2 linked regions of the Notamacropus eugenii genome follow. The protein of the gene in region 2 purifies or fractionates together with the protein of the main gene of each other region. This does not show direct contact. Links are inferred from orthologs where the notes say so. Each region holds a gene or a part of one and is shown on either strand. Other genes may lie near its edges.

The links.
Region 1: the proteins of RAB11FIP1 (region 2) and RAB11B purify together in Homo sapiens (affinity purification with mass spectrometry; 3 studies listed by BioGRID and IntAct, counting the BioPlex papers as one, with this or other methods). This does not show direct contact. The link is inferred for Notamacropus eugenii from reciprocal best matches to the Homo sapiens genes RAB11FIP1 and RAB11B.

The regions. Positions count from the first base shown.
Region 1 is NC_092875.1:52,176,472-52,184,734, reverse strand, and holds the start of RAB11B (ras-related protein Rab-11B), read left to right. Parts: upstream 1-5,224; 5' UTR 5,225-5,390; coding exon 5,391-5,430; intron 5,431-8,263. Other genes in the region: ANGPTL4 (angiopoietin-related protein 4), read left to right, coding at 1,986-2,164. UniProt on the Homo sapiens protein: The small GTPases Rab are key regulators of intracellular membrane trafficking, from the formation of transport vesicles to their fusion with membranes.
Region 2 is NC_092872.1:623,088,778-623,096,525, forward strand, and holds the start of RAB11FIP1 (rab11 family-interacting protein 1), read left to right. Parts: upstream 1-4,695; 5' UTR 4,696-4,969; coding exon 4,970-5,340; intron 5,341-7,748. UniProt on the Homo sapiens protein: A Rab11 effector protein involved in the endosomal recycling process. Also involved in controlling membrane trafficking along the phagocytic pathway and in phagocytosis. Interaction with RAB14 may function in the process of neurite formation.

The sequences.
Region 1 (8,263 bases), on a different chromosome or scaffold from region 2:
TCTCCAAACTAACACTAATTTTTATCTCAATTCTCTCCCTTACTCCAACCCTGTTTTCCAAACCCAGACTCAAATAACTTTATAATAATACATTCCTGGCTCTCAACTGAAGTGCTTAAGGCAGAATTTTATGCATAATGGGCACTCAGTCAGTGTCTGAATTTGTTGTCCCATCCACAAATCCCCAACTCTTATCCATACCCAAAATATAGCCCATATCTGAGCTTCAAACCTTATCCTGAATTGCAATCTCAATTCTAATTGCAACTTCTCGGTCAAAATCCCACATCCAGCTCTATGACCATTTCTCCCTCCCTGAGAGCCATGGAACCATACTCACTCCCCAGCTATAAACAAATCCCTCGCCCTGTATAGCTTCAAACCCATCCCTAATCTCCCATCTATAATCAAATTCTAGTTTCAACCTCAAATTCCACACCCGTATGTGTTAGTATGTGTGTATAAGAGTGTTGTTTATTCACTTCAGTTGTGTCTGACCCTTCTTGACCCTATTTGAGATTATCTTGGCAGAGATACTGAGTGGTTCTCCATTTCCTTCTCCATCTCATTTTATAGATGGGGAAACTGAGGCAAACAGGGTTAAGTGACTTGCTCAGGGTCACATAGCTAGGAAGTGTCTGAGGCCAGATTTGATCTCCTGATTACAGACCCAGCACTCTATCCACTCATCACCTGCAATTACATTCTGGGCTACATCAACTGATTTGGTGGGCAAGGGAGATGCAGAAATAGAATTCCATCCCCTTCCTATCCTGTTCATACATATGATAACTACATAATAATAATGGTTATTATAACTAGCAGTTCTGGAGCACTTTGAAGTTTGCAAAGTTTGCTTTACAAATAGCATCCCATTTCATTCTCACATAGCCCTGCATGATAGGTGCTATTATTTTGGTAGGTGCTATTTTACTCCCAATTTTCTAAGTGAGGAAACTGAGGCAGAGTTTGTGACTTGCCCTAAATCACACAGCTAGTAAGTGGCTGAGGCCAGATCTGAATGCAAGTCTTTCAATCCAAGTTCTGCATTCTGTGCACTGTAGTAATTTCATCAATAATGAAATCAACTCAACTTACATTTATAACTAAAAAGGACCTTCAACATACAGATAAGAAACTCTGCATCCCCTTTATCATAGAATCATGGATTTCGAATTAGAAGGGACTTCAAAGGTCATCTAGTCCAACCCCTCATTTTGTAGATGAGGAAACTAAGGCCAAGAGAAGTGACATGTCTTGCCCAAGATTGAACAGCTAATAAGTAGCAGAGCTGAGGGTTTGAGCCTCAGCCCTCAGACTCTAGATCCAGGGTCATTTCCACTGTGCCACAGAGCTTGATCACTGATTATTGGAGCTGGAAAAGAGTTTGGTGGTCAACGCAGGATGGACAATGGAAAGAGCACTGGATTTGAATTCAGAGGACCCAGAGTTCAGATCTTGGCTCTGCCTCTAACTTTCTGTGCAACTTTGGGAAAACCAGATAACCTCTCTGCACCCTCATTCCCTCATCTTTAAAATGAGAGGGTTTAAACTACGTGACCTCTACCTTTCTATCTCTAAATCTATCATCTGTTCTAACCCCCACCATTTTACAAATGAGGAAACAGGTTTAGAGAGGTTAAGGGACTTTTCCATGATCATACAAGTAATAAGGAGCAGAACCTGGATTTGAATGTAGCACTAGATCTGGAGTTTTCTACTATTCCACACTGCTCATTTTCAGATGAGGAAATTAAGAACCAGAGAGAGAGGCCCAAGGTCACACAGAGAGCAAGAACTAGAACCCAAGGCTCCTGACTTCCAGTCTAGTACTTTTTGAGTATTTTTTTTCATTCTACCTCCTTGAGTTCTAACTCCAATCCCACAGCCCTTTACCTAGACCTCTGAAGCAGACCTGTGCCTTTGTAACTGCACTTTCTCCACACAATTCCTGACCCTGCTTTCCTTTTTCCCTTTTTTTTCAGGGGGCTGGTGGTTCAGTACTTGTGGCCATTCCAATCTCAATGGAAAGTATTTTCACTCCCTTCCCCGGCAGCGGCACCAGAGGAAGCAGGGCATCTTCTGGAAGACTTGGCGGGGACGCTACTACCCTCTACAGGCCACCACCATGCTAATTCAGCCCACAGAGGGTGCCAGCTCTTAGCCTTGTTCTGAGAGCCTTGCAGGGCTAAAGAAAAGAGCCAGAGTTCAATGGGTCAAAGACTCAACATAAATGCAAAAAGAGAACTTTCTCACCCTCTCTTTTCCCAGCACCCATGGTGACAATAGTCTCCCTGGACATATGCTTGGGCCAGGGTCAGGACTGAAAAAGGTACTTCACCGAGAGAGGAATAAGAGAGGATCCAGGCCCAGCCTTGGAATCTAGCCCTTCCATCTTGAAGAGACAGTGTTTACTCATTTCTTGCCCTTCTTTAATCTGTTGCCCTCTTAAGGGTAAACCTATGGTACCAACATACTAATAGGCAAGGGCTTTCCCTCTCCCCATCCACCCTGTTACACAGAAGAGTTTTATAAGCACAAGTGAATGGGAGGGGCTGGGTTGCCTAACCCTGGGGACTAGAGGGGAAGAAGCCCAGCTTCTGGGCTCATGACTGACTAGGAGTCTTGCCTAGCTGTCTTCAGTCATATTGACTGGACTAGGATCACAGGACCAAGAACTGGGGGATCTAGAATGGTGACCTACCTCAGAGCATCGCTATTTTGAAGCCCTGCCCTGGGGTCTTATGAGGGGTCAGGGTAATTTGTAAATAATTGCCTTGTAAAAAAATTCACTATCTTTTGGGTTTTAGAGTCTGGCTGGGATTACCAGGCCTCCTCAGATTTGTTTGTAATAAAAGGAATGAAAGAATCTCAAGATTGGAAGGGTCATCAATTCATCCAGTCCAAACAGGAATCACTAATGTGATCTCCAGAAGCATTCACTTGCAGATGTTTAGGGATGAAGAATTCACCACTTCATCCCTAAAAGGCCTGTTTTTGCACAGCTCTGCTAGTGAGGAGGTTCTTTACATCAAGGTGAAATTTGCCTCCTATGGAAGGCCATGCAGAACACTGTTTTCTACATCATGGTGTTTCAAGTTATGTCTTTCCTCTTTACACAACCCCACCCACCCAAATGTTCTCCAGTCAAAATATCCCCAGATCCTTCAACCAGTCCTCGTATAGCTTGACTTGGAGGCCATTTGTCTCACTGTATTCTTTGAATGCATTTAAGTTTTTAAGAAATCAATCAACCGGCCTTGATTAATATGTTCTTGGCACTGTGCTTTATGTGTGAATATTCACTATATTATGCAAGTCAACAACTGAAAGAGAAACAGGGAAGGAAAAGATAACCCATGTTAACCAGGATTAAGTGAGCTATAGTCCCCTCAGTCTCAGAAAACATCATAAGGGAAGGTCAGCCTGTTCTCCCTGCACCCATTCCTCCTTACTACCATCTTACATATTTGTCTGGAGACCCTGCTGTTAACCACTTCAGACTCACTGTTTTAAAGAATGTAGGTCTTGCTTCCTTTTTAACCTCCTTCATGGTGTACTAATCTACCTAAAGACTTGGGACCTAGGCTCTCACCCAAACAGACGGTATAGGCAGTGACTAGGCTTACCTGGGAGGCTACTGCTTATCTGATTCCTCTTTTTGTGGTTTTCGAGAGGTAGGAGACAATAAAATTTTAGGCAAGCTTTTTGAAAGATGCTTTGCAAATATCTCATTTTTGTTCTTGTGAGAACCCTGGAAGGTAGGGACTATTATCTCTAGTTTATAAAAGAAAACTGAGGCAGGCAGACTAAATGACTTGCCCAGAAACACACAACTCATCGGTGTCAGGCTATATTAGAACTCAGGTCTTCCATACTCCAGGTCTAGCTCTCTATGCACTGAACAACCTGTCTGCCCATGCCAGGTTTGAGTGGAGCCTGTCTGTATTAATGGCAAATGGTGACCAGGCAGTTCTCTGCAGTAGCAGCATGATTGTTTTAGGTTTCATTTTTTTTTTTTTTAATAATAACAGGGTCAGAGACTTAATGAAGTTGGACAGGACCTTTGCAGTCCAAACCCTCATTTTACAGATGAAGAAACTGAGGCCCAGAGAGGAAGAGGACAAGTGGCTTGCTGGAGGGTACACAGATAATATATGACTGAGGCAGGTCGTCTGACTTCAATTCTACTCCTTTCATCACTGCCACGCTTCCTCTGTCATCTAATTTGTATTATGGTTGTACCATGTGTGGACTTGATCTCTATCTCACTGAGACACCTCTCTGCCCCACCAGATTCTTAACCAGGTTATGCCTGCTACTGAGGGCAACCTAATATACTTGGCAGATATGTCTCTTGAGATCAAGGGGGCATGACTGGGCAAGACAGTGGCTAGGGGCTGGATGACCAGTGGGTCTGAGATGGGGTCAGATTGGGGTGGACAGGCAATTAGGTGAGGTGGCAGTGAGCAGTGGGGTGCTGGTGAATGTGAGAGGTGGTAGTCAGTGGGGGAGTGACCAGGCAAGGATAGATGATGGTCAGCTTCGGAGTGCTGGGTGATTTGTAGGTAGGGTGTCTGGGGTGATGAGTGGGCTTCTGGGATGGTGCGATGGGGTGGGGTGACCCTTGGGTCTCCGGGGTGACGTTCAGCAGCGGGGTGACCTTCGGCAGTGAAGTGATGCGGTGGTCTAGGAGGGGGTCATCGGGGGGCTAGTGAGACTCGGGGGTGGCGGGCAGTAGGAGGGTCTCCGAGGGGGTGCTGAGCAGTGGAGGGATGGGTGGTCAGCGGCACGGTAGCCACAGAGCCTCGGAGGTGGTGGTCTGCAACTGGGGCACCCGTCAGTTCAGTCCTTTTTGTTTCCCTGAATTAATGACGCCAAAGTACTCTAGAGGAAGGAGCTGTGCCGCGCGCGTGACGTCACGGCAACGTTACTCCCTTTTCAGTCCTCAGGCCTAATAGGTCATTTCCTTTTTCAGGCTCCGCCCCTTCCAATCCCAGCCCTTCCCCGTGGCCTACGCCCCTTTCCTCCCGTAAACTTTTCTCTCTCTGCCTTTCATTGGCTTAGCGGAACATCAATTTCCTTCTGTTTCTCGACTCTGCCTCCCGTCTCTTGTGTCCGTCTCCTATAGGTTAATATCACTGTCACTTCAGGAAGCCCCTCCCCTCCCCTTCCGTCGGTTTCAGGCCCGCGGTAGGTGGAAGCAGTGGGTTGGTCCCACACTGGTCGCTAGTTCTGATAGGGTAACCACGGTGTCAGTCGCGCCCCCGCCCCGCGGCCGATAGGCCGGTGGAACTGTCGTTCGGCGGCCGGTCGGGCTCCGCCCCCCAGTCGGGTGTTTGTGGTGGGGCTGCGGAGACGGGCCCGATCCCGCCGGAAGAGCCGAGACAATGGGGACCCGGGACGACGAGTACGACTACCTGTTCAAAGGTGCCCGGCGCTGAGGCGGGGAGGGCTGAGTGAGAGAGCGGACCCTTCGGGGAGTGCGGCCCCCTCCCTGCTGGCGGCCTCAGTCCCGGCGTCGCGCTCCGCCGGGCTGGAAAGGGACCTCCGCGGGCCCTAGCGGGGGCGTCGGAACCGGAGCCGAGGCCTGGACCGGGGGCGAGGACGAAGGGGAGCTGACACGGGGTGTCGGGCCCGGAGAGGGTGTCGGGCCCGGAGGGGGCGGCTGCACAGAGCCGTCGGTGTTACTGAACAAGGGGGTTGCGGGGCCCTGGCTAGAAGGTGGGGGAGGGGTAGGTTGCACTTAGTGGGGAGGGGGTTGGTGACTGCTGAAAGGGGGAGGGGGGCCGGGCGCGGTAGGTACTGACAGCTGGCTGGGAACCGTAGTGATGGTCCTGGAACTCGGGAGGGAGCCCGGGAAGAAAGGGGGCGGGGACCTAGGAGCAGAAAATAGTGTGGGTCGGGGTCGCCCGGGTTGGAGGGATCCTAGGACTCGAGGAGGAGGAAGAAGGAAAGAAGACCAGGGGGTAGAGAAAAGCTGCGCGAGATGTTCAGGAAGGCGACTCTGGGGAGCTGGCTGGGAAGACACCCCGGAGACTAGGCAGGGGCTCGAGCCGGGCACCTCTCGTTGACTTGACTCCAGCCTGGCTGCCGAGGCCAGTTAAGCCCCTGCGAGGTGAAAGACACTGTGCTAAGCGCTGGGGAGACCGAGGAGGAAAAACAAATGGGTTGGGGTCACTGGACAAGATTCTTAAGACCGCCGAAAGGAGAAAGGGAGTCGGGAGGAGATACTGGGGAGCAGGACCAGGAGGGAAGGCAATAGAGGATATCTTGGAAGGAAAATGGGGGGAGGGGGAGAAAAATTAGAGAATGGAGAGAGACAGGGAGCTTGCAGAGAGGAAGGGAGGGAGATGGGGAAAGTGTAGTAGAGATTTGAATGGAGTATGGAGAGAAAAGAGGAGTGAAGATTGAGGCCAGGCAGGTTGAATGCAGGAGGAACTCATTTAAGAGGAGTGATTGTGTCAGATATGGGAAAGGCAGAGAGAACTAAGGTTCACAGGATGGAAAGAGAGCATTAGGACTGAGGATAAAAGATATGTGGAGTGATTTATGTAGGGGGAGCTTGTAATGGGACTTAGCCGGTGTTGCTATACAGGACTTTACTCCTGGAGAGGGATGTCTGAGCAGCCTTGTACTCTAGATAAAAGACAAACTTCTCTGAGGCAAAAGAATCCAGGGCATTAGAGTGGGGGATCCCTAGATTAACTGGGATCCTTCCCTCACTACCTTTACTTCTCAGACATACTCAGAACTCCTTGACCTGGAGATGAGGTGCTGATTCTGACTGATCTGACTGATCAGGAATTGGGCAAGCTTTCTTTTCTGAAGCCAGAGGGCTAGGCATTAGACCTTCTAAAATTCTTACCATTGAGTAGCCAACAGGCTAGCCTGGAAGTGCCCAAGGGTTCCAGCAAAGAGGTACTAGGTAGACATGAAAAATGTCTATTTTTCTTATCCCTGGGTCTGGTACCTTGGACTGTTGGCTCTTCAAAATACTTGTTCCTTGGTTTTTCTTTCATCTGAGACTCTTTAAGTTAAATCAAGGATGTGATCTCTTTTTCTTCTTGTGCCTAGGACTGGCTGACCGCTATATTAGTGTATTCCAAGTCCTTGTTCACTGTGCTCTGTCTGAACTACAAATCCTCCTGGCCTCTGCTCCTCTGCTTTAGTTATATCTCCTCTGCTGTCCACCTCATCATCACTCTATTTTTCCAACACACTCTTATTACTAAAACTCCTAGAGACCCCAAATGGAAAGGGCTCATTTTTCACAGCTGACCTAAGAAGCACTGCTCAGGAAATCCTTCTGTCTCATAGTACTGAAATGTCAGTTACTTAAATATTTATTTTCTAAAGACATTTATTTATAAGAATCTCTTAATCTATACATGCCTGAGTTCAAATATAACATTTTAGAAAAGAAATTAATCTTGAGTCCCCCCAAATTTTCTCAGTTACAATGATTTAAAAATAAGTTTGTAAAAAGAATTTGATCACACACTTTTAGACTCCTGTATAATAGTAAATGAGATCCTCAATATGTGTTTCCATGCATTTAGTATACAGGATGTCCAAAAGTATTAGGCTTTGCTAGTTTAAAATTGCACTAAGACTTTTGAAACACCCTGTATGTGAGCTGCTACAAAACAAGCCCTGCTCTGCTCAGCACTGATTTCAGGTACCTGGTGTTTATTTGAGCCCGTGCCCAAAGATTGCTGTCTCCTGAGTTATAGGGTTTACACTTCCACTGCCTTCAGCCTTCCTTCTGTGTGTCCTTTGGCTTTCATGGATCCCAGTTATTCAAGTCTTCTGCCCTCTTCCACCCAAAAGGAGTATGTTCATTATGTCACGAACAGTTGTCAGAGATGAAAAGTAATGTAGTATACCTTTTAGTCAACAAAGTAGCCTAACAAGCATATTTTAAGCACTTACTATGTTCCTGGCTCTAAAGGATACAAAGAAAGGCTAAAGCAGCTCCTGCCGTTGAGGGTATTTTAATGTGGGAGACAACATGTGTATAACAGAGGCATGTTCAATATATCTGCATGGTAGATGGTAGGTAATGTGAGATGGGAAGACAGCTAAGGGAACCAGGAAAGGTCTGCAGAAGGTGGCAGGGTTTGAGCCGAATATTGGAGGAAGCCCTGGAAACTAAGAGGCCGAAGGGGGAGAACAGAGCATTACAGGCATGGCTGCTAGCCAGTAGAAAAGGACAGGGAGTCATATTTGATTAAGTGCAAATAGGCTAGTGTAGCTGGAT
Region 2 (7,748 bases):
TTGCCAAGAATGAAAGTTGGTTGGTTCCCTAATTTAATCAGCAGATTAAAAAGCAAGGGCTCATAAATGCTATTTTGCAACCCAGTTAGGGATGAAGCAGATTTAGTTTATATCCTCTTAAGTGAGGAATCTGAATGGTTCTAAACAGACTCAATCAATGAATTTTAGAGTTAGAAGGGAATTCTGATGTCATCCAGTCCTGCCTCTATTTGAACAGGAATCTCTTCTAGTACTATATTATCCCTGACAACTCTTCATTTGACTTTCAGATAAAGACTCCCACTGATGAGGAATGCTGACTTCCCAAGACAGCCTATTCCAATTTTGTACAATTCTAATTACCAAGTTTTTCCCTATATCCAACTGAAATTAGCCTCTCTGTAATTTGCTTAGCCCTAGAGGGCAGTACTAAAAACAGTTGGTAGGAATTAAGGCAAAGCAGATAACTAGGATTGTTTTAAAGCAGAAAGGGCAGCCATTAGAAGTAGTAAGTTCTCCATTACTAAAAGTTTTCTGGCTGACCATTTATCAAGGATGCTGTAGAAGGTATTCAAGATGTAGATGCGAAATGGACTAGATGAGTTCCTCCCAATCATGATGTTCCCTGGTTTAACGTAACAGACAAATGAAGATCCATTAATAGATGGCTTTATTTATATATTCATTTATTAATCTAGCTGGAATTAAATTGAAGGTTTGAGCGAAGGAGTAACAGGTTGAGAGTAGAGCTTTTAGAAGTTTAATTAAGTAGCAGTATGGAGACTGGATTGCAGGTAGAGGTGGAGACCAGAGGTAGGAGGACCAATTAAGAAATTGTTGCAATCCACTATTCAACTAGGGTGGTGGCAATGGAAATGGAGAGGTATGAATAAATGTGAAAAACATTTGAATGGAAGAAGATAGTAACTGATTAGGCAGGAGAAAATAAGGACTTGGGTAGCCTTGGTAACAAAAGTGAAGGGTTGAAAGGGGAAGTAAGGATAGTAACTTAGAAATGGCTACTTCTTGTTTTTCTATCAACTTCATTTCTGAGTATCTCCTTGCACTCTCTTTAACATTATTGAGTCATCCTTTGTGACAAAGTTTTTAAACTGTTTCAGCAAAATCAACCAACATATCAACCGTATCTTATAGGAGAGTGCACTCACTTTCCGGTTTTTAGCTGCCACTAAAATGTGCTGCTATGACTATTTTGGAAATGCCATTCATACCAAAATTGTCATAATAGCACTTCTGTGGTAGCAAAAATGAACTATTCTTGACAGACAGGAAATAACTGGTTATTGATGTGGGGGCTCATGACAATCAGCTGTGTGCTACCAGACTATCAACTAATTAGATCAAAAGTGGAAATCCACATCAAATTTGAAGAAAAAATAAAGATAAGATGACTGAGAACAAATGCAACAGCTTTAACTAGACCTATTCAAATGAGTAGTTGATATCAAGCCAAAGTATTGACCTGAATCATCATCATTTCCTTGAAAAGTGTAACTGATATAAAGCAGTCACCACAAGGAGGAAAAAAGAACCTGGAAATCACCTTAGTCAGAAAACACTTGATCTTTCTGCAAGTAGAGATATAGCAACCAAAATATCACAGAACAGAATCACAGAAGATTATGATCACTATCACTTTACAAAATAGCAAAACATAAGGGTAGGAAAAATAAGTCTTTGGTTTTAGTATGAGCACTGACTGGGTTACATAGTATCAAGATAAATAGATAAAAGTCACAATAGATGGAAAATGGAATTAATTTGTTTGTATTTTTATAATAAACTCTTTTCATCACCCATGATTTAGACTCTATCATCTTAGTACTGGATGCACTTAGCATATGACTACACTGAAGACCATTCCAAGAACTGTAAGGGAACTTTGGTCATATGTGACTCAAGAATATAGGGCTTTGCTTTGAGATGATAAAATCTTGTAATTGACTGCAGAACCAGAAAAATGGATAACTTAATAGATGTATAAAAGGGAGAAGCTTCTTTCTTCTTTTCCTGCTTTGACTAGACAGTTTTGAGTTGCTTCCTGTATTGACCATAGTCATCATTTCTTATAGCAGAGTAATATTTTTTATATGCAAGTACCACAATTTGTTTATCCTAATTGATGGACATTTATTGTTTCCACTTCTTTTCTACTACAAAAAAAATGCTCTTATAAATGATTTTGTACATATGAGCCTTTTTGTCATTGAATGTCCGGTATGTGATTAACAGTGGAATCTCTGGGTTAAAGATTATGGGGTTTTTTTTGTTGTTGTTTTGTTTTTTGCTTATTTTCTTAGTATAATTCCAAATTGCTTTCCTGAACGATTGGATCAATTCACAGCTCCACCAACAATGCATTACTGTGCCTATCTTTCCACAATTCCTCTAAAACTGAGTGAACTATCTTTTATCACCTTTGCCAATTTGCAGGATTTAAAATCCACCTCTTTCACAGAATGTTCTCCCAGTGATGCTGTATGGTATAAATTCTGGAAAAATACAATCTCTGAAGAATCAGAATAGGTATCCCAAAGTTCAACGGAGAAAAAAATAGTAGGTACAAGTAGGCTGCTGTGTATTTCCAGAATGATTTATTTACAAAACATAGCATGAAGAATCAGACGTAGACAAGTGGGGTAGTTTTGTTACTATTATGTTAAATATATATTAAAAGCCACAAAATATAAATAAGTTCAAAGTTTCATATACATATATTTTCTGTGTATTTCACAAATATTTGTATGTATATTTCATATACATATTCACATATTTTCTGTTCTTTGTATAAATTCACAATTAAAAAATTTAGAAACCATAAAAAAGGATACTTCTCATATATGCAATAGGGAACTAATTTCATTGATGTGGACATTCCCTTTAGTGGTATAGGTTACAACTCATCCATTCCTTCTTATTCTCTTCAACTCTTGCTCCTGAGCCCCTATAAATTCCTTGCAAGAACACATTCAAAATACTGGGGGTCTTCCTTTACATTATATAGATAACAGAGCAACACGGGAACTGTTCCATTTCTTATTCCTTCCTCTTGCTACATGACCAGCAGTGTGGTATGCCAGAAAGAGCAAAAAATTTGGAGTCAAAAGGATCTAGGCTCCTGACTCTGACTGTTATTTACTATTCATGTGACCTTGGGCAAGTTATTGCATCACTCTAGGCCTTGGTTTTCTCCCTGTAAAATGAAAGCACTGGACTTCATAACCTTTAAGGTACTTTCCAACTCTGTTCTTGACTTACAAATACCTTTTCAGACATACATTTAATACCTTTTGTATAATTCATTACAAGTGATATCCTGATACGTTCAGGTACTTTATGTATAAATAATAGAAGAAATGTGCAATTGAAAAGGATGTGGGCAGGTCACGTCATTGGAACAAGAGACATAATGGACAGCGTTGGGGCACCAATGAAATGTAAAAAAAAAGAAAAAAAACTTTGGAAAAAGCCTCTAGAATATTGAGTTGATTCTCCATGGACAAGAATGATATATGATAAAATATGGACTGATTTTGATCTGTACTGATGGAAGGAATTACAGATCCATGAAAACACTAAGCTATATAGCATCTTCTGTGTGTCATTGAAAGCTCAGAATCTTGTCTTCAGTTACATACAAAGGGGACAAATTTGTAACCTCATCTAGGTTGCAAAAATCAATGGTTCTTCCTTCGCCACTGTATGATGGAGGAATGGAAGCAGTCAAAGATCCTAACCTTTCAAGCCTGGTAAATTAGATCGTATCAGACAAGAGATTTAAACCCAACACCTCTGACTCTAGAGACAACTTTACCCACCTCCCTCCCACAATGAACACTGCTTTCCAATTGATTACCCCTGGGGCTTCTTAGTTTATCAAAATGGGTCTGGATTATTTCAGACATCCCTCAAGTTATAATTTGCTGGGTTCTCAAGCCCCTTCCAACCTTAAACCTTATGAGTCTGTGACTGTCTCCCAGAGACCCCAAGTCTGTCACTGTCACACAAAGAAGCAACACATCCTTCCAGACAGTCCTGTGGCTTTAAAAATACCAGGCACACTCCCAGTCTTCCTAGAGATCGTGGGAGATTCTCCAGGCATGACTTCTTCTCCCACTCCCATGCGGTTCTGTAAGATCTTCCTCCTGGGGAATCGATCCCGGAGTGAGGGGTCCAGAGTCGTGGCCCGCCTCCAGCGTGCCTCCGGACTCCCGGGCTGGGAGCGGGGGCATTTCCCTGCGGGCTGCGGCGGTGACAAGCTCGTGGTCACCGAGAGCCACGGGCAGCGGGCTCGGGGAAGCCCCGGTAATGCCGCCCCGGCGGGGGGTCGGCCGAGCGGAAGGCAGGGAAGGCGCGAGGAGACCGGAGCCTGGCCGCGTCTGACTACGGCTGTCAGGGCAAGAGGCTGGCCGAGAACGCCAGAAGCTGAGAACTCCCCACGCGTGTCTACTTCCCTAACTTTACGGTCTGAGTTCCCGGACGGCAGGGCCCGTTTCTTCTATTTCCTTCGTGCGCCCTCCACGAATGAAAACCGCCAACACCGGCACCCGGCAGGCCCCGAATGGAGGTTCTAACTCGCGCTGCCTAGTCCGGGAGAAGTGCCGGACCCGGTGCGCAGGCGGCCCGGGTTCAAATCCTTCCCAATCCAGGGTCTCCCCTCTCAGGAGCCGGGTCGGCCCCTCGGACACTCCGGGCTTGCCGGGGCGAGCCAGCCTCCCTCTTTCCTTCCGCGGACGTGCCCCTCACTCAGCCCGGCCTCCGCCAGCCGGGAGGGGCGTGGTCACTCGGGGCCAAAACAAGTTCCCGGAGGTGCCGCGGCGGGCGCGAGGACAGGTGGGGGGCGGGGCCGCGCGCGGGGGCGGGGCCGGAAGCTTTAAAGAGGCCGCGGGCCGTGACCCCAGAGCCAGAGTCACCGGGAGGCTGCGGTAGGGGCGGCGGCGCCGACATCGCCAGCCACAGCGTCGGCATCATGTCCCTGTCGGCTGGCGGCCGGGGCCTGGGGGCCGCGTGGTCCCCGACGCACGTGCAGGTGACGGTGCTCCAGGCCCGGGGGCTGCGGGCCAAGGGCCCCGGCGGCACGAGCGACGCGTACGCGCTGATCCAGGTGGGCAAGGAGAAGTACGCGACCTCGGTGTCGGAGCGCAGCCTGGGCGCGCCGGTGTGGCGGGAGGAGGCCACCTTCGAGCTGCCGCCGCTGGGGCTGCCCGCCGGGCCCGGCAACGCCGCCACCTTGCAGCTCACCGTGCTGCACCGCGCCCTGCTCGGCCTCGACAAGTTCCTCGGCCGGGCCGAAGTGGACCTCCGCGAGCTGCACCGCGACCAGGGCCGACGGAAAACCCAGTGCGTGCGCGCCGCGCGTCCGGGGGAGGGGCTGCTGCAGGGGGAGGGGCTGGGGGCCGGGAGGCGGGGGAGGGACTGTTGGGGGTGGGGAGGGTCCGCCGAGAAGGCGGGGGCGCCGGGGGAGATGGATGGAGAGGTCATTTAGGGTTGGGAAGGGGGAGGGAAAAGGTGTGGCTGGGGGGGGAGGGAAGGGGCCCCTGAGGGGGAAGGGAAGACATGAAAGTTGGAGGAGGGTTTGGGGAGAATGCGAATTATGGGGGCAGGGGGTAAAGAAATTTTGAAAGGAGAATGAGGTTGGTTTATAGATGGTTATTTCTATCCTTTGGGGTGTTTCTGCAAAAAAGGGGGAAAATCATTTGCGAAAATTGCTGTAGAACAAACTGTATTTTTATTCTTTGTGAAAAAGAGAAACAGAATTGCCTGTTATGACTCGATGGCCAAGTAACATTATAATAACATATTCTATAAATGGTATGGAGGTGACATTTACGCATCATGTTCTCTTCCCTCCATCCCAGCGACAGAATGAGTTGTTGGAGTTCTTATTTATAAAGGGTATCACGTATAGGCTATATCAGTGATTGATTAGTAATTGTGTTGTGGCTTCTGGGTATATGATGCTGAAACTAGGAACTTTGAACTAAGGATGGGCAGAAGTGAATCAGAACTTGTCTTTCCATGGATGAGATAAGGGAACTTGAATCCAGAAACTAGAAATGACTAAAAGGTTAAAGAGCACACATGTCTAGGCAATGCCCTAGATAGGCTGAGTGGGTGGAAAACTGAAGGCAAAGGAAATGGATCTGAAGTAAAAAATACCTGTTGTGGCTAGCAGGATACAGGATAATAAGGGGAGAAAAAAGAACAAATAGATTTAGAAGAAAAATTAGAAATGGTGTGGTGCCTATTAAAGAGACCTTAGCTTCTAGTTATCTTAGATGCAATGTTTTTGGAGAAAAGGCCAGCCATCCCCAAAATTCTCAAATAGGTGATTGTTTGCTTTTGACACTTATCTCTCTCTGGGCTTTTTCTTACTCCCATATCAGAAGTCTAGTAGTGTACTGATATGGGCAGATCTCATCTCCTAGGAAAAAGGTGAAAAATTAGTCAGCATTAAGGTGTGAGGGACAGAATTGGTCACTATTTGGGCTGAATTCATAGTAGGATCAAGCTAGTTGGGGAAGGTATTTTGAAGGAAAGGACAGGATCCTCTGGGTGTTATATAAATGTCATCTAAAGCAGAGGTCAAATAGGCAGCTAGATCTAGTTGCTAGGGTATGGCCAGGACCCGATTAAAATGTAACTGGGAAATATTCACCAAGATAAATACTAATACAGTAAAACAGATATTACATTTTAAGTCAATATGTGACCCACAAGGAAAGAATCCTTGTTATTTATTTATATTTAGGTATTGTTTAGTGGCCTCTGTTTCTATTTGTATTTCATACCACCCATCTTAAGAAGGAATCAAGAGAGCATAGCCTGAATCCCAGGACTTTAGTTCAAATATTGCTTACTATGTGTATGACTTTGGGCAAGTCGTTTTTGTTGTCGTTTTCAGTCCTGACTCTCTGTGCCGTCAATTGGATTTTTTTTCACAAAGATACTGGAGTGATTTGCTTTTTTTTCCCCCTAGCTCATTTTACAATGAGGAAACTGAAGCAAGCAGGGTTAAGTGATTTGTCCAGGATCAGGAAGCTAGTGTCTGAGGCTGGATTTGAACTCAGGAAGATGAGTCTTCTTGACTCCAGCATTTCCTCATTTGTGAAATGAGAGGGTTGGATTAGGTAGCTACCAAGGGCCCTCCCACCTTTAAGTGTTATCATTCAGTTGGATCCTCTAAAGGTCCAGCCTTAGCAAAGAAAGGTGTCAGCTAAAAGGATTAATTCTAAGTTGGGTCTCAAATGATCTTGCATTTCTGATGGGCACAGTATGTAATAGCACTACCCCGGCTGTGTCTGTTCACCCATACTAACAAATTGTACAGACATTACTGAACCCAAGTAAGCCAACGAGTATAGAAGGCTTCTTATAACTAAGCACCACTGATCCTGGCTGCCAGGTCCCTGTGGCAGCTGGTATTTTCAATTCAGCCTTACTTGAAACTACAGAGGGTTGCTTTGTTCTTTGAATTCCTATATACCTGTTTTAGTGTTCTGATAAGAAGTTTTCTCAAATACATAACCTCACCCGGCAGAAAATGCCACAGGTTATGGGCAGCTATGGCGCTACTCTTTCAGACATTCCAGGGGTGGGAATGGACTGCTGGCCAGAAGCACCTGTGCAGTCCGTTTACTTAAGAAATATCCTGGCCAAGTGGATGAAGATCCTTATTTCAGACTTTCCAGAGGCTCATTTAGGGACTGATGCTACTTCCCTCTTGTTTCTCCTTTTTTTAAGTTCTT